Mus musculus: one gene and its partners. The protein of the gene in region 4 purifies or fractionates together with the protein of the main gene of each other region. This does not show direct contact. Links are inferred from orthologs where the notes say so. Each region holds a gene or a part of one and is shown on either strand. Other genes may lie near its edges. The genes, in order: Chd1l, Xrcc1, Lig3, Rnf146 and Parp2.

Region 1 (4,290 bases), on a different chromosome or scaffold from region 4:
GGTTAGGAACACTTATTACTCTTGCAGGGGACTCAAGACTCCCAGTACCACGTGGAAGCTCACAACTATCTGTAACTCTAGTCCCAGAGAATACAATACCCTCTTCTGACCTCCATAGGAGCCAGGAGCTCATGTAATACATACACATGCATGCAGGCAAAACACTCACACATAAAATAATAAATCTAAAATATTAAATTCATAACTGTAATAAGTATTTGGCTGTGATAATATCTACATTTCATATCTATCCCATGCATTCAAACCTGCACCCTCTTGTCTGCTCACTTTCTTTTATCAAGAATGCCCCTGCACACATAGGCTCCTCCTGGACCATTACATGCAGCTGGATTTGATCTGTATACAGTTCTGGCCCTTCTGCATATTTTAAAGTATCAATCCCAAGGCCACTGGCACGCATATAGGCAGACAAACATCAATCAAGATAAGCTTAATACACTAAGGCCAGTCCACAAAGCCAGATTTAAATCAGGTACAGATAGGGAGAATGATAAAGGGGAGGGGGGCACTCTCCTGGGAGGAAGGGAAAAGACTGGCTCAACAAGAGGGAAAACATGTCTGACCTGTACTGGAAACCTAGCTAACTACTCAGAAGGAAAAAGGAGGGTAAAATAACAGTACGGGTATCTAAAAAAGTCACAAAGAATCATACAGTTACGTATCTAAAACCAAAACAAACCTATAATAATGTAAATCTGTGTATAAATATACATATGTAGCTTTAACACACTCTTCTCACCTGGGCTGACAATGCTCCCTCCCAGAGCCAAAGACCACCCAATAAAAACCCAAATAGAAGACATGAGAAGCCCTCTTTTGAGTTGTTAGGATTGTAAACTAAAATTTCTTTTTCTGTAGGCATAAATTATTTCATGAGCACATACAGGGAAGAAAGGCCAGAAGGTTTTCAATGGATTGCCATCTCTGAATACTGCATTTATTCTAGTAAACAGAAAGGGCAACTGAACTGTGCTGTCGGGGCTGTCCAGGAGATCCCCAAAATAGACAGTCCATTTCTATTGACCTAGGGTGCATGCCCAGAGGTGGAAGGACTTGAGAAACAGGAATCAGAGAACCCTGAGCTGTAATGCTGCCTTCTACTAACACTTGTCCTTATACCCACAAATAAGCGCAGTCCTCTCCCCTCATCAAGGAAACTTTCCTTTGACAGAGATGGAGAGCAATAGAGAGGACCACAACCAATTAGAATGCAGAGTGTAGAACTCAGTCCCAATGGATAGATCCACACCTAAGGTATTGTGGAAGAGGGGACAGAAAGCAAGGTCAAAAACTTTGTTGTCAAATTGTGTCTCCAAGTAACACCAGACGCTTTGTTTACACTGTCACCAACATGACTGCCCACACATGCAGATAGTACCAGTGAGCATGCCAAAATGAACAGAGAGGAGCCATTGAGGCCTCAATCCTACACAAAGAACTACAGGCAACTAAGAAAAGCTAAGAGCAATAAAAGGGGTCTTCTCTAGGGAGGAGCACACCAACTGGCTGTCCAGTGCCAACCAGTCAGCCCTGAAACGTACATACAAGTGACACTAAACACACTGAACTAGTATATCTAGGAGTATTTATGTACATAGGTATAAGCATAGGATAACGATTAAGTGGGGGGAGGGAACATGGATTTGAAGGAGAGAATGGGAGGGTTTATGAGAGTGTAAAGAAGTAAAGAGGAGGTGTAACTATAATCTCAAAAATAAAAATTTTAAAGTTGAATATAAATGGAAAATATTAATATGAACTGCTTGTCTTTCACTTCGCCCTCATCGTCATCTGCCCCTCCTCTAAGCTAACGGAACTTTTTTTTTTTTTTTAAAGAACGAGTCTCTCTATTACATAGCCCTGGCTATCATGGAACTAGCTGTGTAGAGCAGGCTGACCTTGAACTCAGAGATCCACCTGCCACTGCCTTCCAAGCGCTGGGTTAAAGGGTGCGCCACCGCCTGGCAGAAAGGCACATTTTGTTGCCTTTCCAAACCCTCACCTTTTGGTGGTACTTGGCACGTGTAAGTCAAGCGCTTCCTTATGCTTTCAAAAGCACGTATCCGCTAGTAAAGAAACTGGGTCCTAGGGCCGCTATTTATTTTGTTTATCTGCTCCCCATACCCCACAGTACTCTCTCGACAGCAACAAATAACGACCACGAGGTGACAACTGGTGAGTCATTATGACTTTCCGTTACACCAGCACTACATTCCCAGCAGACACATAAGGAAAGGAGTCTTGGGATGTGGAATAGAGAGAACGCCGCAGGATGAGGATGCTCCAGGTCCACTGGGGTCTGCAGGCCGGCGGTCTCTAAATCTGGAACCTACAAACTGAGGTCTACACATCTGGAGCCTACACACCTGGGGTCCACACATGTGGGATCCCCTCACTTGGGACTCGTAATGGCAAGTGGGCTTAATACGAAAGCACAAGAGGCACAGGACAGGACAAACTTTGCTGGGCAGCGCAACTTTGAGAGTTCATTAGGGAGCCGCAACAAGTGAGTGCGCATGCCCAGTCGGCAGGGAAACGCAGACTGGGAGGAGCGAGAGCGGCCGGGAAGCTGCTGGCTCCCCCGCTGTCCCCGCGTAGGCCAGCGCTGCCGCGCGCCTTCCCGGCTCCCGCCCGCCCCCGGGCGTCCCCGGCCCGCTCACCAGTCAAGCCCCACTGCTGTAAGTCCGGTTCCTGCACCCGCGTCCGAAGCGGCTCCGGCCCGTGTTCGGCCGGCAGCGCCTGCAGGAAGCGCGGCAAGCCGCTCGCCATCCCGAGAGGCCCCGCGCCTTCGCTCCCGCGCGTGCGGAGTACAACGCACCGCCGCCAGAGGGCGCAGCTCGCGCGCCTTCCCACGCTTCCTTAGCACGCAGGTGCGGAAGACTCTGGTCTAAGTGTGCGTCTGCGACTAGGACCTAGAGGCTGCCTTTGCTAAAAGCTCTGACTCCTAACTTGGGTTGCTTGGGTAGCTAACAGCAAGCTCAAAACTTGGCAAGCTCCCCACCCCCCCTTAATTTCTTATCTGTCTTCTTTAAACTTTGGGTCCGATTCCTGAGCAGCTTTCCATGTTTTCAGTTACGATGCACATGCCTAAAAACTAGTACTACAAGGTAGATACGTCTTATATTATCTAACCTTTTTCTTCATGTATGACTAAAAACACCAAAATAAGATTAACTTTATCTCTTAAAATGTGTAGTGACAAGATACATTCAAAGAAAAGACCCTGGTGGTACATTCCTGTAATCTCAGCATTGGGGAGGCTGAGGCAGGAGAATTTGTGAGTTCAGTCTAGCCTGGGCTGCAAAGCAGGAAGGTGTCAATAAATAATAAAGATCAAAGCTCAGTTAGCAGAATGCTTGCCTCGAATGTACCAAGCCCTCGGGTGGGGCATGAGGGTGAGCACCTGTAATCCTAGCCCTAGGGAGCTGTCGGCAGGAGGACCGGAGCTCACGGTCAGCCTCAGCTACACAAGTTTGAAACCAGCCTAAGGTGCAGTAAACCTTTTCTTAAAAATAAAGTGCGAGAGAACTTCCCCCCCCCCCATCCCCTCAAGATTCCAAGAGTAGCCATTCAAACAGAACATCTATGTGTGATAAAAACAAAAACAAATAACAAATAACTAATGGCCACGTTGTCCTAAGAAGGACCAAGGCTGGCCCCACTATGCAGAAGTAGTCCTCTAATGACTAAGGGACTTTACCCATCCCGTTATACAGACTTCTCCAGGAACACACAGAACCAGAACTGAGGTACAACCAGATCAAGAGGGGAGATGTCAGATACACCAAGGTCATCGCACCCCTCTGTGATCAATTATCCCGTTATACAGACTTCTCCAGGAACACACAGAACCAGACCTGAGGTACAACCAGATCAAGAGTGGAGGTGTCAGATACACCAAGGTCATCGCACCCCTCTGTGATCAATTACGTTGAGGTTAAAGATTAACTCAAAAAAAAAAAAAAAAAAACAGTTCTCAGTGGGTACTTGAAGTTTCTTGTTTATAATATGAACTACTAGTGGGCTCTTACAAGAACATAGTGTGTTATCTGTCCCTTACCAGTGGAACTGAACAAACTTGCCCCCGTTTTCCAATAGAGCTGTATTGAATACAGTCCTTTTTTCACTAGTCGTTTTTCCATTTGATTGGGGGGGGAGGGGCAAATGGCTGGACCTGGTTTGTTGAGAGTCCCCCCAAATCAAAACTCTGGCAGCACTTCTGACCGTACTCTTGAGTCCCCAAGTCACTAGAAATGCTTACCAAGGGTT
Region 2 (4,054 bases), on a different chromosome or scaffold from region 4:
GGTCAACACCCAACTGGCAGTGGGCAGGTGCTTAAAAGCATCTAATTTCCTTCTCCCACTGATTTTTCTTTAAGATACATTTTTTTAATTTATTCATTTATTTTATGTATATTAGTACACTGTAGCTGTCTTCAGACACACGAGAAGAGGACATCGGATTCCATTACAGATGGTTGTGAGCCACCATGTGGTTGCTGGGAATTGAACTCAGGACCTCTGGAAGAGCAGCCAGTGCTCTTAACCGCTGAGCCATCTCTCCAGCCCTGAGATACATTTTTATTGTTTTTAATATGTGTATGAAAGGGGGATGAAGCCCCAGAGACCAGAGGTATGAGAGCCTCTGGGGCTAGGCTTACAGGCTGTTGCTGTATGCCATCAGACACAGGTGCTAAGAACTGAACTCAGTCCTCTGGGAGACCGGTTGGCACTCTTACCCACTGAGCCATCTCTCTAGCCCCTTCCTCAAGTTTCTGTACCTGTCAGAAACAACTCCCTAACTCCCCATGGGAGCTTCTCTATGTAGCTCTGGCTGTCCCGGAACTCACTCTGTAGACCAGGTTGGCCTCAAACTCAGAGATCCACCTGCTTCTGCCTCCCAACTGCTGGGATTAAAGGTGTGCCATGACCACTGCCCAGCTTAAAATAAATTTAAAAGTAGTCAAAGTCAGAAAGATAGGGACATGGCTCAATTAGTAACCTCTTGCCTAGCCTGCACAGTACTGAGTGTGTGTGTGTGTGTGTGTTGTAAGCTAAATGAAGGAAAGGCAAACTGACAGATGCTAGGCATGATGGTATACACTTGGAACTCCTCTGCCCCAGATAGACAGACAAGGATCAGGAGTTCAAGACTAGCTTCAATTTAAGAAAAATTTTAAAAGGAGAATAGGGTGGGGTGGTACATGCTTTTAATCCCAGCACTCTGAAAGCAGAGGCAGGAGGATCTCTGTAAGTTGGAGGCCAGCATGGTCTATAGAGTGAGTTCCAGGACAACCAGGGCTCCGTAGAGAGACTCTATCTCACAAACAAAACAATAAAACCAATCAAACAAAACTTCCCTTCCCTACACGTTTCATTCCTTTACTCTCTGAGGTACTAGGGATGGAACCAAGGAAGGGTCTGACATGCTCCAGGCAAGCCCTGAACAGCCGAGCTATCTGCCTAATCCTATGTTAATAGTCCTCGTGAGGGTAGTTATTTCTCATTTCCAGACAGGTTCTAAGTTGTGCAGGCTGGCCTTGAACTTGTTATCCTATCTCAACTTCCCAAGCAACCAGGATTACAGGCCTGAGCCATCCACCCTTCCATGTCGGTCGTCTTTACAATGAAACTGATTTATGGAGATACTCTTCTTGGCCACCTTCTGGCCCCGGGGGACACAGTTAACAGTAATGGCTGACACTGTCCCAGCTGATGAAACTGAGGCCCAGAAGTAGAGTCAACCTACTCAGGGTTACCCAAGGATTCCTGGAGGCACAGGGATTTCTAAGCCCATTTTCCAGGCAAGTTAGCCGAGCAAGCTCTCTACTACAGAAAGGAAACGACTCAACCTCCAGCCAGCTGGCAGTGGAATGTGAGCGGGGGTCTCACTGCCCCGGGAATGAGGAGGTGGGAGATGGCAGCATCACCTGTAGGACCACAGAGATGGTCTTCTCTCCTGCCTTGGCTGCCCGCCACTTCCGGTAAGTGTCCGCCTTGAGAAGATTTTCGGCACAATGGGTCTGCAGGCAAGGGTGGAAAGGTGGAAGTTCTTTAAATAAAGCTGACTTTTAAAAATAAGATTATTTTTGAATGTTTAAACTCCCAAGAGCTAGCCGACTCTCCACACTTGACTTCACGCCAGTCCCACCACACACACACACACACACACACACACACGCATACACACACCCCTGCCTCGAGTTTTCCTTTCACCGAGTTTTTCTTCACAGTTAGAACTTCCCAGGCCCCTCTTTTTCCTTACTCTCCACAGTGGCCCCAAACTTCCCTAACTGCCCGTCTCTCTCGGAATGCACGTCCAGCCTCTGGAAACCCCACCCGGAGCCCCGCTCAGAATCCCGCCAAGATCCCCCCCCCCCTTTGCGCTTCCAAAGTCCTCAGCATCCCTCAGGAAGCCCCTGTCTCCCCGCTGCTCCCACGTCAGCCCCTCACCGAGTCCTGGCTGCTGCAGGACACGACGTGGCGGAGGCTGATCTCCGGCATGTCCACGCCCGTGGACGCCCGACCGTCCAGGGAATGAAGAAGAAGGGTTGCAGCTCCGGGGGGCCCCCGGAGAAGGTTGGGGGAGCGCGCGCGCCCTGCACGGGACTCAGTGCGCAAGCGCGCAAGGCTCGGGCCTTTCAAACCGCGGCGCGCCGGCGCACACGTCAACACTGCGCATGCTCGGTTGGGCCTCTCCGCGAGCGAGGCGCCGGGTTCCCTTAGCAACAGGCATTCCCCCTCCGGCCCCGCCTCTCTCAGGTTCCACCACTCTCCGGCCTAGCCGCCTGATAACGTGGAGACTCGGCTTCCTGGGAACCTAGCAACAAGAGCGGCCTCAGTGATTGGGTCCTACGTGTAATTTGCCCTGGTCATTGGACCGTGAGGTCACCAACCAAACCAGAGCCTTGCTCAGAAACGCTGAAGCTGAGAGTTTCCTGAAGCCTGAATCCTGTTTGAAATAAGATCTCTGGCACCTGTTGTTGCGGACACGCTCTGTTCCCCTTCTCTCTCCAAATGCAGACAAACAGACGGACGGACGGATGGACACACAGAGACGAACATCGACAGACAGATGGCCGACAAAGATCTCAGACCTCTCTTAGCTCATGACCTAACACCAAAAGAGAGGGAGAAAGATCTTAATACAAATTGTGCACAATATACTTGCGTGCGTCCACAAATACCTTGGTTCCCCAATGCCTTGTAAGCATTTGTCTCCAACTTTGCCCGTCTCTGTCTGCTGACAGGACCTCTTTTGTTCAGTCCCCTCAAGACCCAGGGGCACATCCCTGGGTGGGGTTGGAGCTGGACACAGCTCGAATACAGAAGCATGAAGGTGAGGCAGGCACACGAAAGAGAAAGGAAAGGCCACAAGGCGCCCGGCCCCCGCAGGACGGGTCTAGACATGCTGGGCGCTCCCCGGTTAGGACCCAACCTACGCTGGGCGCCTCCTTGGGAAAGGAGAAGAGGATGGATGCCAGTCTCCAAAGTTGCTCTGCACCCTCAGGGAATCAGATGACCCACTCCTACCTTAAGATTTGTGAACAACAACAATTAAAAAAAGGTGCTTGGATACATAACTGAGCTTCTGGGTCCAGGTGGAAGAAATTTGGGCCCAGGTGCAGAAAAGGGCTGGGTCCAAGTGGTTCAGTTTTCTTGTGGATGCTGGTTCCGTGGCTCTGACCCGGAGGCTGTGGAAGACTCCCATGGGTTCTGAGCTCAGCTATTTCTCACCCCAGGGTGAAGGTGGGACCAGACCCGCCCTTCCCCAGCTTCTTATAAGGGCTGAGGACCTGGGACTACAGGTTCACACACCATGATTCTGTTTAGAAGACACAGGACCTTCCTGCTGGCCTTCACACTGCTCTGTACCCTCCTGGGTCTCGGTAAGTGACAAAGGGACCTGGTCCTCTTCCCCAGTACCTCAGAGGGCATTGGGCAATGTCCTCAAGAGAGGGATAGCCTGAGAAATGAGATTTAGGAGAATAAAGAGGTGAAAACCTGGGGTCTGAGAAGGCTTGATGGGCCCTGCATGGTCTGTCCTCTAGGAAGGGCCTCAGAACATGACATCTGAATTCTAGGAAAGCAGATGAGAGAGCTTGGCCATCAAAGGCAAACTTTAAAATTAGTAATAAGGAGAGAGATGGCCTTTCTCTCTGGACCTAGAGGGATTCAGGACCTCATCTTACTCTTTTACTTAGACACAGTACTCCAAGCCAGCTTCACTGTCCCTGTGACCCAAATGGCTAGGTTCCTCCTCTGTCAGGACCAAGGAACTGATGCCAGCGATACCTCTGGGCCTCAGTCTCCCTTTCAAATGTAGGACCCAGACCTCAGAGTCAGGTACCTCTGCCTG
Region 3 (4,261 bases), on a different chromosome or scaffold from region 4:
AGGCTCTCCCCTCACCTGCAATATGCTGGCTTATCTGTTCCTTTTCGTTATCTTCCAGCTCTTCCCAGCCTTCCAGCTCTGTGAGGTCTTCAATTTTCTTTGTGGTGGCCCGAGCCCGTTCCAGTTTCTCAAACATGCACTTAATGTGGTACCACTCTTTCATATCACCCCCAGACTCTGAGAAGGGGTTGGGCACCACTTTGCCAATGCGGCACACGCCCTTTACAATCTTCTCCTTGCATTTCTTGCATCCAGCTGTGCCCCGCTTGGCATAGTCCACACAGAACCGCTGCTCTGCCATCGCACAGGGGCCAGTACAGAGTCCCACATGCGACCCTGGCCAGAAAGTAAGGTGGGTGGCACGTGGTCTTAGATGACCTCTCTGGAGAGCTAGGACAGGCTTTCTTCTCTGGAGAAGGCAGCACCCACCGAGGAGATTTGTTTCCGACCACTGGCTGAACTGACTTATGGCAGCCCAGCGATTCTGTTCTGGGAACAGGCACAGTTCTTTTCTGCCAAGGGCACAAAGGTTTCTCGGGAAGAGGATCTTGAAAGCCAAAGTCATATAGCTGCATAAAAGGGTAGAAACAGACAGACAGACATGAAGAATCCAGGCTTCCAATTTCTCAATGGCTAGAATCTCATACAGAGCACGTGGTTAACCAAACACTTCCCAATGCATTAAATATTTACCACCCAGAGTTCTGATACAGGAAAAACCAGTTTCCAAAGGGGTGTGCAACACCAACACTGTAGAGACTGATTGTAAAGGTACTCATAGTGGATGGTGACCTTTAAATAGTACCAAGATACTGAAGCTTTGTCTTAAAAATCAAGAAAAATTACATTATGTTTATGAAGTTTCCCTGTGAAATATAACACATGAGACACTTTCAGAAAACAATGAAGCCACTATAACAGTTTTAGGATTTCAGAAGAGGGCCCCTTTGAGAAAAAAACTAATCAGAGTCTATAATCAGATGGACTGCCCAAGTTCAGAGCCTTACTTAGCCATTTAGCTGCTGTGTGAGCTCTGTTCAGTTACTTTCCCTCTCTGCTCCTATTTCATCTGTAAAATGCAGCTCACAGTAGTACCTCATTCAAAGAGTAGCTGTTTCTAAGTTGTTCCTTAGAAACAGAATACGCAATTCCCTTGCTTAATTCGGCGACCTGAATCAGGGGAGGTTGAAATAACTGGACTGTAAGAATCTAAGCAAGTGATGAACCAATTCAAGTGGAAAATGATTATTCCTATCCCTTCTTATATCTGTAATTATTTAAGTGGCTTTACAGTTTTAATTTTCAATTTACTGGAAACTATTTTTAGTCCCCACTCTGCTGAGAACTTTAATTGATATTGTGTCAGAGCAGCAAGAAGGCTGAGGTAGAGCGGAGCACAGCAGGTGTACTACTAAAGAAAGGGTTGGAGACCAAGCCTACCCATCTACAGCGGGGTGGGGAGGTGGGGGCAGATATCAGGCGACTTGGTTTTCTCCAACAAGGTGGACCCTAGCCAGACACCTTAGTTGGCCGATCCGATCCTCCCACCTCCAGCCCTAGAATTATAGGTATGAACCACCAAGCATGACTTCAGTTTATTTTCTATTATTTATTTTTCGGTTTTTTTGTTTGTTTGTTTTTAGATAGATTTTTCTATGTAGCTCTGGCTGTCCTGGAAGTCACTAGGAAGAGCAAGCTAGTGTTCTGAGTGCAGGGATTAAAGGCGTGTGCTACCACACCCGGCCCCAGTTTTATCTTAAAAAACAACAAAAAAACAACAACAATTACAACAGGACTAAGAGCTAGTTATGGTGGTTCTCGTCTGTAATCATATCAGAAGGCAAAGACAGAAGGATTGCTGTGCGTTCGAAGCTAGAAAGTCTGGTTTACTTAGTAAATTTCTGTCTAGCCAGGGTACGTCGTCAAGACCGTCTCAAAAGGAAAACAAGCAAGAAAACAAACCCCCCAAAGATTAGAACTACTTCATGGGGTGGTTAGGAAAACTACAAGGAGTACGAGGGCAAGCCGGACGTGGAGTTCTGAAGTTTGTATACCAAACTTGTGTATTTGACAATGTTCGACTTGGGGGAGGGGAGGTCCGTAACTGGCAGACTCAGGGGGTCACACAAGCCCTAACCGTTAAGAATCTGAGAGGCGAGTGAAGGCCGGCAAGGGCTGAGGAGGAGCTCAGGGCGAGTAGGAGTTCAACTTTCCGCAGAGTAGGGTGGGTAGGGTGTCGTATCGCCCATCCCGGGATACGACAAATAACTACCCGGGGAGACCGGCGCGAGGAGGCCGGGAGCCCGAAGAGCAAGCAGCACGCCGTTCTGCCCACAGGCTGTGCGGGCGAGCCGCGGCCGCGCAACAAGGCGGCGGAGAGGGACCGGCGGCGGCCCGGCCCCGACCCCCTGAGAATGCCCACTCTGGCATCCTGCCCTTCCCGGTGGCTGCCCAGGGTCCCGGGGGCCGCGGGCCTCCCGTGGGCTCCCGTGGGGGCGCCACGTCACGGAGGGTGTGCCCCCAGGCTGAGCGGCGGGCGGGGGAGGAGCCACGGCCACTCCAGCCACGCCGCGTTCGGCCCCGGCCCTCCCCACACGGCGCACCGCGGCCCGCCGCTCCGCGCCGCGCCGCCCCTCACCTGCCTTCTCGGCTGCCCTGGCTCTGACGCTCCGCACGAGCCACCGGACCAGGCGCCCACAAGGCCACGGGTCCCGCACGATGAATAGACCGCCTGTCTCTTTAAATACGGGTACTCCAGCCGGAGGCAGGGCGCAGGCGCAGTAACCGACTTGCGCCCTCGGACCCCGCCCCCTCCGGTCGCCACGTGGGTCGCTGTTCTATTCCTACCCGGAAATCTTGAACTGAGTGTTGGGTTGGAGTGGCGGCTTGGGGCGCAGCGTCCCTGAACTTCCTAGAGTTTCTCAGATTGTTAGATATTGAAGGTAGTGTTGAAAAATCATTGCAGTGATCCTAGGGATGGGAAGCTCGAGTCGTTCCACCTGTGTCTTCCGCACCGCAGGAGTTTTGCTGAATTAAAAGGCACTACTTTAATTAAAAAGGTAATTAGAAAATGTGAAGAACAGGGACTGTGGCCCCGTTTATGTCATTTAGCGAACTAGTGCTTCTAAACCTCAAATAGGCTCTGTGAGTTCAAGATGGCTAATTTTTCAAAAAATAAAAGTATTCAGGCCTTGTTCAGTCTGGGAAGGGCAAACAGTTGGGCTTTGTTAGGTAAATAAAGTGCAGATCGTGGAACTAAGTTCTATTTCTGAGGAAGAGTTTAGCTTTTTTTCCATAGGGAAAGAACGCTGTGAGGGGTCACTATAGTTGAAGCTGGTCAGGGGAGAGACTAAGACAAGCCGACTCACTAAAAGGCTGTTGTCCATATCAAAGTGGCCTTGAGATGGAGAGGAAGGTGTATGCTTGAATCTGTGTGAGGTGCTCAGTTATTTGTTCATAGAAATGAAGGGCTGATAGACGAGGTCTTTAACAGAACTGGAGAATGAGCCGAGGGAGGCTCTCTGGAGTTCAAGGTTGAGTGTCTGCTGTACTGAGGCCAGCTAGATCCTGGTGTTTGAAATGAGGTGAAGGCTCTTTGTTTTCTCTTAACTTGCAGCAGGATAAACCTGGGTTTGGAGTTCGGAAGGCCTTAGGCTCAAGGGCTCCAGTTGAGGAAGCGTGAACATTTTGACTGGAGTTGATCTTAACCCAATGGACTTTCCCTGTGCTGACCAACCCTTTCATCACAAGCAATATATTCGGTTGCTGAGCCCTGGAAATGTAAGCAGTCTGAAGTGAGAGATGCTGTAAATGAACACTGTACACTGACAAGTACCCAACACTTCCCCAAAGAGAGTAAAATACCTCATTAATAGTAATAGTGCATATATTCCAGTTATTTGCTGGCCAATTTTTTATGTGTTCGGTTAAAGAATATTTACTGTCACTCACCTGTTTGGTTTTACTGTCTTTGAACTAGGGCATCAGAAACGATGGGGCTGCGTGCTTAACTCCCATTGTTATGGCTCCAGCTCAGCACTCCACAGACAGAAAGCCTGTGGTGAGGAGCAGTGGGTATCTGCAAAGGCTTTCTCTTCTTAGACCGGGTTTCTCTGTGTAGCCCTGGCTGTCCCGGAACTCAAACTTTGTAGACCAGGCTGGCCTCAAACTCAGAAATCCACCTACCTGTGCCTCCCATGTGCTGGGATGAAAGGCATCTGACGCTGCCATGTTGCCTGCATCTACTTCTAAATGAATGAAA
Region 4 (3,765 bases):
TTAATCCCCCCAACCCCTTCCCTCAATGGTACTAGGGATTGAACCCAGATCCTCAAGTAAGGTGAATCAGCCTCCTACCGCTAGATCCCTTTGAAATTAAGAATATTTTAACATCTGAAGCCTATGAAATAGACCCACATGCTTGCTCACATCGACTCACCTATTCAATGTCTTATCCCTTTCAACGTACATTGATGTACAACCTTTTCTCTTCAGGCTATAAAAGTTCATATAATATTTCCTATAACAACTGAATGAATAACCCGAACCCATGCTCTGGATTTACAGCTATTAATGTTAAGCAGATGAGCTCTTCCTTTGGATCAGTGGCCTTGAAACCCTATAAATAGGTGCACAGTACATTTTTCAGTCCTGAATTCAAACAGTGGATGTAACCTCAAAATGCAACATTGTTGCAAGCACAATGCAAACAGTTACAGAATGCGGAAATACTTTCAAAGGTGAAAAGGTTCTCTGGTCCATTTTGTGCAACTTCAAGTAGAGAAAACTGTTCTGAAAAAGATCATGTGCCGGTTAAAATGAACAAGGACTAGATTTTGATGTGTAACACCATATGCTTGCCATAAAACTAACCCATGAAATTTATTCTAGATTCGCGGGACGATTTCTTCTTCTAGCTTCCTATGCTGTTAGGGTTTAAAAGACACCCCAGCACACCCCCTCTCCCATTACATATCTGGCCATTTGTGAGGTGAATAAATTGGAGCATCTCGGGGACCATCCAGTCCACGCCGTGACTTTTCTTGTGCCTTTTTTGTATAAGGAACAAGCGGTAGTCTCTCCAAGGGCACGGCCAAAGGAAACATAGGACTTGACCCAAGGCTGAGTTTTGGAAAGGCTCTTCTTCCTGGTACTGAAGGTCTAGCTTCCTCCCACAAGCCACCTAGATGGACCTCCACCAGTTCAGAACCAGGAGGCCACAAGATGCGCCACGCAGAGGGTGAGGGAGGACCGGAACAGGGACAAGGAGCAGCCCGGTCGCAGCAAGGGACAGAGAAGAGCAGCAGCCAGCGTGGGGACCGCCAGCCAGGGCCGCCGCGCGCGGGATCACGGTGAGGGGGCGTGGCTTCCGCCGGCGCGGCCCCGCCCCTTGAGCGCCGGGCGGTCACGTGACGGCCGCGCGCGTCCCCGTCCGCTGCGGGCTCCGAAGCGGAGGAGAAAAGACTGCGAGGTGGCTGCGGCGGCGGCCGAGAGGTGGGCTCCGGGCCGGACCGGTGAGGAGCGCGGGGGGCCGTGGGCTGCGGGCCTCGGCGGGGCACTGCGGCTTCGTTGGCTGCGAGGCGGCGCTCGGAGTCCGCGGCGGGCGGCGGCGGGTCGGGGGCCGGTAGGACGGGGACGCCCTTGGCCAGCGCGGCCCGGACGGGCGCGCGGAGGGAGGCCGAGCTGGCGCAGCCCGGACTGTGACGGGCGCGGCCCCGGCCATTACTGCGCAGGCAGGCCAGGCTGCGGGCAGCTCCAGCGGGCTCGACCGGGCCTCAGTCGGCCACGGGCTGCATGCTATCTTCCGCCTGCCCTGCCGCCGCCGCCGCCGCCGCGGCTGTGCCTCTGGGTCTTGCCCAGTGCCCGGAGTCGTCCCCTCCTCCTCGCGCTGGCGGAAGCCGCCGAGCGTTCTTGTTTTGATGGCTCCCCAAACCCGAAACCAGCCTGAGGTGTCGGGATACCAGTTGGGCCTCCCAAGCCGGGTGCATCTTGAGAGCTCCGGCAGTCGCTTTGTTCTGCTTGCTGGATGTGGAGTTTTCTCCTTAACCCTCCACCCCATCTGAGAGCGCACGGGATCCCCATTGTTGTCACTGTCTTATTTTCTGGACTTTTTTTTTTTTTTTTTTTTAAAGAGAAAGGGCTATGTGACATTGTTTTTGAGGATGTGGAAATGGAACCGTCCTCTATAATTAGGTAAGATGTTTCCCCACTGTAAGTTAGCACACGCATTCTGACAACTACATTTTATCTGTGTATGTGTGTGTGTGTGTGTGTGTGTTCTTTTGCAAACTAGATGTGCACCTGGAGCTTGGGCATTGAAAGGCACGTATTGTCATAGAAGTTGAATGCGTAGAACATAACAATAAATGATCTGTATCATTAGACTTTTAAAGAACATGGCATATTAAAGAACAAATTAAGAAAACGACCCACACATACTAGCAGAGCGTGAAAAGCGTCTGGGAGCTGTAGAAACACTTGAAAATAGGTGAAGTAAATCTCATTTTAGAGAAAACTCAAGAGTAACTGCTACAGTAAAGATGGAGTTTTGGATATGTTTGCTTGGGTCTTGGATATCATAGAGTTTATTTATGTCTTAATTGGGCGTGTGTAATGGGGAAAGAATGAAAACCCTGTTATTAAACGTTTGAAAGTTTCTGTTTTGTGCTGTTTAAGAACTGAGTCGAATTGTAGTCATGGGGAAATGTCCCAAATAACTGTTCATTAGATAACAGGAATGCAAACATAAATGATTTTTTTTTTTTTGTAGGAGACATGCCATTTAGTAAAAGTGCCACTTTGAAACTGTTGGAGGGTTTGTTTTGTTTTATTTTTTGGATCCAACATGATTCCTTGACTTTGAAGAAGAAAATAATAGGAAGAATTTTTCATATCCATCTGTTTAAAACATATTTTCTGTCAGCCATATATGAGTTTGAAGGACTTATCACATTTCCCTATCAGTATGAGAGATGGAAGATCCGAGTCTTTTCTACCTCCTTGCTTGGTTGCCTTCTTGATCACAGAGTCTGAACTTGGGTAACTGCTGGGTGGATTAGAAACAGTCTTTTTGAGCATACACACTGTTTACACTAGTCTACAGCTTCCTTTGCTTCTTTGTATACTCTCATTTACCTTTCTAGTTAGTTAATACAAAGCCTGTTGTTAAAGGCCTGCTAATTAAAATGTTTGGAGTTGTCCAATTACAGAGGCTGGCTAGAGCAAAGTAACAAAAGCATAGGGATAACTTGGCAAAGGTCACTCACCAGTTAATAAGAGGACTTTCTTATTTATAGAATGTCTGCCAGCCTGAAACATCTGTTAGATGAGAATACATGTATTACATATAAATATAAATTGACATTTGTATCTCATGAGTTAATGAAATCAATACAACGCCCACTTTGCAGAGAAGGAATTTAAAGCCTTACACTTAAGTATAAGGACGGAGACAAAAGTAAATAGAGTCACAGGATGGGGCTTCTTAAGGGCAGTCATACACAAGGCAAGAAGATCCCTCAAAAGTATGGAACCCCACTTAACTGAACTGGGTTTTGACAGAACACTTATTTCCAAGCTTAACTTAGACTTTTAAAACTGATTTGATGATGAAGTATAAAAATTGACACATTGTAACAGTTACATACTTGTGAATTTGGGAATCTTTCTTAAGAAGTTTTAAGATGTGTTTGTTAAATCCCATCTGACCCCTACTCATTTTTCTTGTGTTTATAATAGAGACATATGTAAGTAAACAGATACACATAATAAGGTTTGTAGTCCCCCTATTGATATGTTTTCTATATAGTGTATTCTGTTTGAGTAACTCTTATTTCATTACACCTTAACTTTAAATAGGATAAGCAGAAAATGTCCAACTGTATATAATTTGACATTTATATTTTTATTTCTATTGTGATATGTTCATCTTTTTTCTTTGATTCGCCTTTTTTTTTCCTTAAAGAAACAATATTTTATTCAAGTTTATTATCTAGGGACGGTGGATCTTTAAAAAGTTTGGCTGGCTTAAAATTAATCCTAATT
Region 5 (4,081 bases), on a different chromosome or scaffold from region 4:
CCTGGCTCACCCAGCTTTTTTTTTTTTTTTTTTTTTTAATGAGTTTGTATGTGTTTGTGTACGTATCACTTGTGCTTTTTATTTATTTATTTATTTATTTTTTAATTTAATTGCCTGTTTTCTAAAGAAAGCTCAAGAGGACATGGAGTTAGTTGGATGGAGACCTGGAGGAGATGAGGGACGGGAAATGGTAATCAAAGTTTTATTTTTCAGTTTTGGTCATTAATCGATCTGAGGCATCCACACACTAGTCAAGTCACAGCTTCGCGCCTTTGTAAGGAAAGCTGGGCTTGGTATGAGCCCTATTCCACTCCTATCTCAATTGCTTCTCCTTTCTCAGTGTTCTTCGCTGTAGCTCAACTCTGCTCATTTACTTCATGAGGAATTCCCAGCCTGTTTCTCTATTATGATACTATGTGCTTTTCCTAAGTACTTATTACAGTTACAGGTTCATTTTTTTGGTTTTGTAATAAGTCTACATATATATTCTCCCAATAACAAGTTACATGAAGGTATGAACTACGTTTATTTTTGCTAGACAAATAGCTAAAGTATAGCCCCAAAAATCCAACAGTGGGAGGGGGTTCATATCATGTTTCACTAAATGTTGTCAAACTCCCTTCTATATTTTTATGGTTTAATCCATATTTGAACAACTCTCAAGCTTGGTCTTTTTATAGTAGAGGGTTGTGGTCAATACAGTCACAACTGTTCAAAATGAATGAATGACTGACTGAATGCTGAGACACAGAGTAAATATATAAAACCCTTTCGAGTCAATACTCCAAAAGGATCTCGATCAAAAAAGAGGGCGGGGGAGAGTAGTCTGAATTGGGTTATGAGGCCCGGGAGGTGCCTCACCTCAGCCATTGAACTCGCACTGCTGGCCGTGAGTCTGTTCCAAGCTCCGGCGAGGGAGGCATCCGCTCCGGCGAGGGAGGCATCCGCCCCGACTCGGGGCTTCTCCTGCCCAGTCTGCCCAAGCGTAGAGCCCTGCTCTCTGGGAACTCACCTCCCCGCTCGGGGAGAGCCCGGTTAGGGCCGCGGGAGGCCCAAGTCTCAGACCTTCCCAGGGGCCGAAGAGTGACACGCACTCAGCACGTGGCCCCGCTGATGAGCTTCCTCCGCCCACTTTCAGGATGTAGACCGGCCGCCACTATAAGGCTCGAAAGAGGAATAAATTTTTCGTTTAGGGTGATTTCCCACAAAGCACAGCGCGTAATTTGCATGCGCTCTACCCCAGGCTCCTGTGCTAGACAAGAAGCCCGCGCATCCGGGCAAGGGATGATGACGTCGTCCTTCAAGAGCGATGGCGCCGCGGCGGCAGAGATCAGGCTCTGGAAGGCGAGGTGGGAACTCAGTCCGCAGGCTGAATGCTCGGCCCAGTGTCACAGGGAGCCTCTCGCTTTTTCATATTACACTTCAGTCCAAAGAGGCGGGTCACGGATAAGCGCTTACAGTAAAGTGATTAGCTGTAGTCAACCTTTTAAGATACATCCGATTTCAGAAAGTAAAATTCGAATCTTAGAATTGGTGTCTGTAGACCGTATACTGTGTCTGTGGTCTCGGTTTTATATTTCGGGCAACTAAAGTTCAATGAATTTACAGGTTCTAAAGCTCCAAATAGCAACGCTGGCAGCAAGTTGGTCAGTCCAGACCGTTGAACACTTTACTGATGACCATGATGAAGTGGTCTAGTTTGAAGGAAGGTATTAGAGACCAAAGGCTATGAGACCCATGTAATGAACTGTAAAGATCTATGTAAACTTATTTTATCCTATTATTAATATCCCATCAGGATAGCAATTTAGGCAGTATTGCTCAGTGAGTGGTGTGCAAGTTATTAAGAGCATGTTGAATTATTTCTTTAGAAATTATTTAATCTTTATGTATTTTATCTGCATATATATATATATATGCACCATGTATGTGCCTGGAAGTGTTGGACCCCCCGTACTAGAGTTACTGACAGTTGTGGTCTGCCATATGAGAGATGGAACTTAAACCCAGAGCCTCGGGAAGAATCAGGCAGCTCCTTCATCACTGACCCACCTCTCCAGCTACTTTAAGTTCTTTCTTTAAAGGATATTATGAGAGCCTGGTGGGCATGTTGGCTCACACCTTTAATGCTCGCACTTGGGAGGCAGAGGCAGGAGGATCTCTGTGAGGTCCAGGACAGCCAGGGCTATATAGAGACCCTGTCATTTAAAAAGGGGGGTGGGGGGAGGAGGGTTGTCAAGAAGCTGGAGAGTTAGCTCAATGTTAAAAACCACTTGTTAGCCAGGCGTGGTGGCACACGCCTTTAATCCCAGCACTCGGGAGGCAGAGGCAGGCGGACTTCTGAGTTTGAGGCCAGCCTGGTCTACAAAGTGAGCTCCAGGACAGCCAGGGCTATACAGAGAAACCCTGTCTCGAAAAACCAAAAAAAAAAAAAAAAGAAAACAAAACCAAAAAAAAAAAAAAACACTTGTTGCCCTTATAGAGGGTCTGAGTTTGATTCCAAAATCCCACATGGCAAGTCATAACCACCCTCCCAGACCTCCAGGTACACCAGACATCCAGACATGCACGTGGCACACATACATATACAGACAGAACACCCATACACGTAAAAGGAAACAATAACCTTTGGGGGTTTGTTTCTTTGTTTGTTTTGGGTTTTATGTTTGTTAACAGTCAAGGGCAGAGACAACTCTACTGTCTCTGACAGCAACCTTAGTTTTTCAGAGACCTCCACTCAGGCAAACCTAGTATTCTTGCCTTTAAAGTAGAAATGACTTTCAAGAGTATGCAAAATGAACCAAAGTTGGAAGTTTATTACAGGAGATGCCAATATATGTTTTAAGCACAAGGGTTAAAAGAAACGGAATGACTGGGAAGAGAGACGCCACAGAACATGAGTGTGGGCTTCTCAAAGAAGAATCACCCTTCACTGTCTTTAGAATAGACATGTATGTAAGATTTGTGATTTTTGGCTCTTCAAGGAGTTGTTAAAGAATTTAAATGAGATCACAGTTCCTGAGGAGATCTGACAGAATTCCAGAGTCCAAGTCTGGATGATAAGGGATGCAGGGAGTTAGGTTATCAGCATTGTCAACAATGCTCGTGGTCTGTTTAAGACTCCCATAAAATGGGAAAGAAATGAACCAGGCCCATTGTCATATTCATTTAGGCCGACAGCCCAATTCAGTGTCATTTTAACATGAAAATATCTGAAGATCTGCATCAGCAGCCTTCATAGAATGTTAATTGGGCTGAATTTCTTGCTTCTCAACTTCAGAGAGGCTTCATCCTGACTCGGGGATAGGAGGGGCTGCTTTTCCTTTTCATAGCCATCTAATTTTCCTGTGTTTTTATTTTGCTTCAGTGTTGTTTCAGTAAAGTTAGATCATCTTCATAGTGCAGTAATTCTTGGTATATTGTTCTTGCCATAAGTGCTAAATGAAGCCAAGAAAGTTGATAATGGCAACAAAGCAACAGAAGACGACTCTCCTCCTGGCAAGAAGATGCGCACGTGCCAGAGAAAAGGGCCTATGGCTGGAGGGAAGGACGCAGACAGGACAAAAGACAATCGAGGTAATGGGCCAGGGAGGACATGGGACAACTCTTGGGTTTCCAGAAGAATGGGGATAACATTTGTTCCTTCCCTCTTCAGGATCTAATTAATTTCTCTATCACCTGGGCATTCTGCAGTACCAGTCTACTTTGTTGAATATTTTCATAGATTTGAGATGGATTAGAACCCAGGCAGAAGACCTGGACTGCTCGGGAAGGGCAAAGTTAATTATGACAGCTTTGTAGCCAAGACGGCCCTTTTGATTCCCACATCAGTAACGGCAGTGCGTGTTTGTGTTCCCTCAGACTCTGTGAAGACCTTGCTGTTAAAGGGCAAAGCCCCTGTGGACCCAGAGTGTGCAGCCAAGCTGGGAAAGGTAAAAGCACCTGCAATGGAAGGCAGAGTTTTCTTGTCTTATGATGATCCCTGTCTAGAATGTCGGTGGTGCTCAGTTTAAAAATACTTCCGAAAATATTGCTAGTGATGACTTCTCTCCAGAGTTGAGAAGTAGGGGTGATGAGGTTT

The links.
Region 1: the proteins of Rnf146 (region 4) and Chd1l purify together in Homo sapiens (co-immunoprecipitation; 3 studies listed by BioGRID and IntAct, counting the BioPlex papers as one, with this or other methods). This does not show direct contact. The link is inferred for Mus musculus from reciprocal best matches to the Homo sapiens genes RNF146 and CHD1L.
Region 2: the proteins of Rnf146 (region 4) and Xrcc1 purify together in Homo sapiens (co-immunoprecipitation; 3 studies listed by BioGRID and IntAct, with this or other methods). This does not show direct contact. The link is inferred for Mus musculus from reciprocal best matches to the Homo sapiens genes RNF146 and XRCC1.
Region 3: the proteins of Rnf146 (region 4) and Lig3 purify together in Homo sapiens (co-immunoprecipitation; 3 studies listed by BioGRID and IntAct, counting the BioPlex papers as one, with this or other methods). This does not show direct contact. The link is inferred for Mus musculus from reciprocal best matches to the Homo sapiens genes RNF146 and LIG3.
Region 5: the proteins of Rnf146 (region 4) and Parp2 purify together in Homo sapiens (affinity purification with mass spectrometry; 4 studies listed by BioGRID and IntAct, counting the BioPlex papers as one, with this or other methods). This does not show direct contact. The link is inferred for Mus musculus from reciprocal best matches to the Homo sapiens genes RNF146 and PARP2.

Annotation. Positions count from the first base shown.
Region 1 is NC_000069.6:97,607,382-97,611,671, forward strand, and holds the start of Chd1l (chromodomain-helicase-DNA-binding protein 1-like), read right to left. Parts: upstream 2,810-4,290; 5' UTR 2,791-2,809; coding exon 2,682-2,790; exon of another isoform or gene 2,557-2,681; intron 1-2,556. UniProt on the Homo sapiens protein: ATP-dependent chromatin remodeler that mediates chromatin-remodeling following DNA damage.
Region 2 is NC_000073.6:24,545,454-24,549,507, reverse strand, and holds the start of Xrcc1 (DNA repair protein XRCC1), read right to left. Parts: upstream 2,810-4,054; 5' UTR 2,673-2,809; intron 2,516-2,672; 5' UTR 2,200-2,515; coding exon 2,149-2,199; intron 1,719-2,148; coding exon 1,626-1,718; intron 1-1,625. Other genes in the region: Pinlyp (phospholipase A2 inhibitor and Ly6/PLAUR domain-containing protein precursor), read left to right, coding at 3,515-3,584. UniProt on the Homo sapiens protein: Scaffold protein involved in DNA single-strand break repair by mediating the assembly of DNA break repair protein complexes. Negatively regulates ADP-ribosyltransferase activity of PARP1 during base-excision repair in order to prevent excessive PARP1 activity.
Region 3 is NC_000077.6:82,779,654-82,783,914, reverse strand, and holds the start of Lig3 (DNA ligase 3), read right to left. Parts: upstream 2,807-4,261; 5' UTR 2,639-2,806; intron 2,520-2,638; exon of another isoform or gene 2,431-2,519; coding exon of another isoform or gene 2,273-2,430; exon of another isoform or gene 2,138-2,272; intron 570-2,137; coding exon of another isoform or gene 566-569; coding exon 16-565; intron 1-15. UniProt on the Homo sapiens protein: Isoform 3 functions as a heterodimer with DNA-repair protein XRCC1 in the nucleus and can correct defective DNA strand-break repair and sister chromatid exchange following treatment with ionizing radiation and alkylating agents.
Region 4 is NC_000076.6:29,359,434-29,363,198, reverse strand, and holds the start of Rnf146 (E3 ubiquitin-protein ligase RNF146), read left to right. Parts: upstream 1-1,495; intron 1,496-1,529; coding exon of another isoform or gene 1,530-1,803; intron 1,804-1,853; 5' UTR 1,854-1,914; intron 1,915-3,765. Other genes in the region: Gm30698 (verprolin-like), read right to left, coding at 690-1,495, 1,530-1,803. UniProt on the Homo sapiens protein: E3 ubiquitin-protein ligase that specifically binds poly-ADP-ribosylated (PARsylated) proteins and mediates their ubiquitination and subsequent degradation. May regulate many important biological processes, such as cell survival and DNA damage response.
Region 5 is NC_000080.6:50,806,639-50,810,719, forward strand, and holds the start of Parp2 (poly [ADP-ribose] polymerase 2), read left to right. Parts: upstream 1-1,277; 5' UTR 1,278-1,309; coding exon 1,310-1,349; intron 1,350-3,367; exon of another isoform or gene 3,368-3,435; coding exon 3,436-3,576; intron 3,577-3,861; coding exon 3,862-3,932; intron 3,933-4,081. UniProt on the Homo sapiens protein: Poly-ADP-ribosyltransferase that mediates poly-ADP-ribosylation of proteins and plays a key role in DNA repair.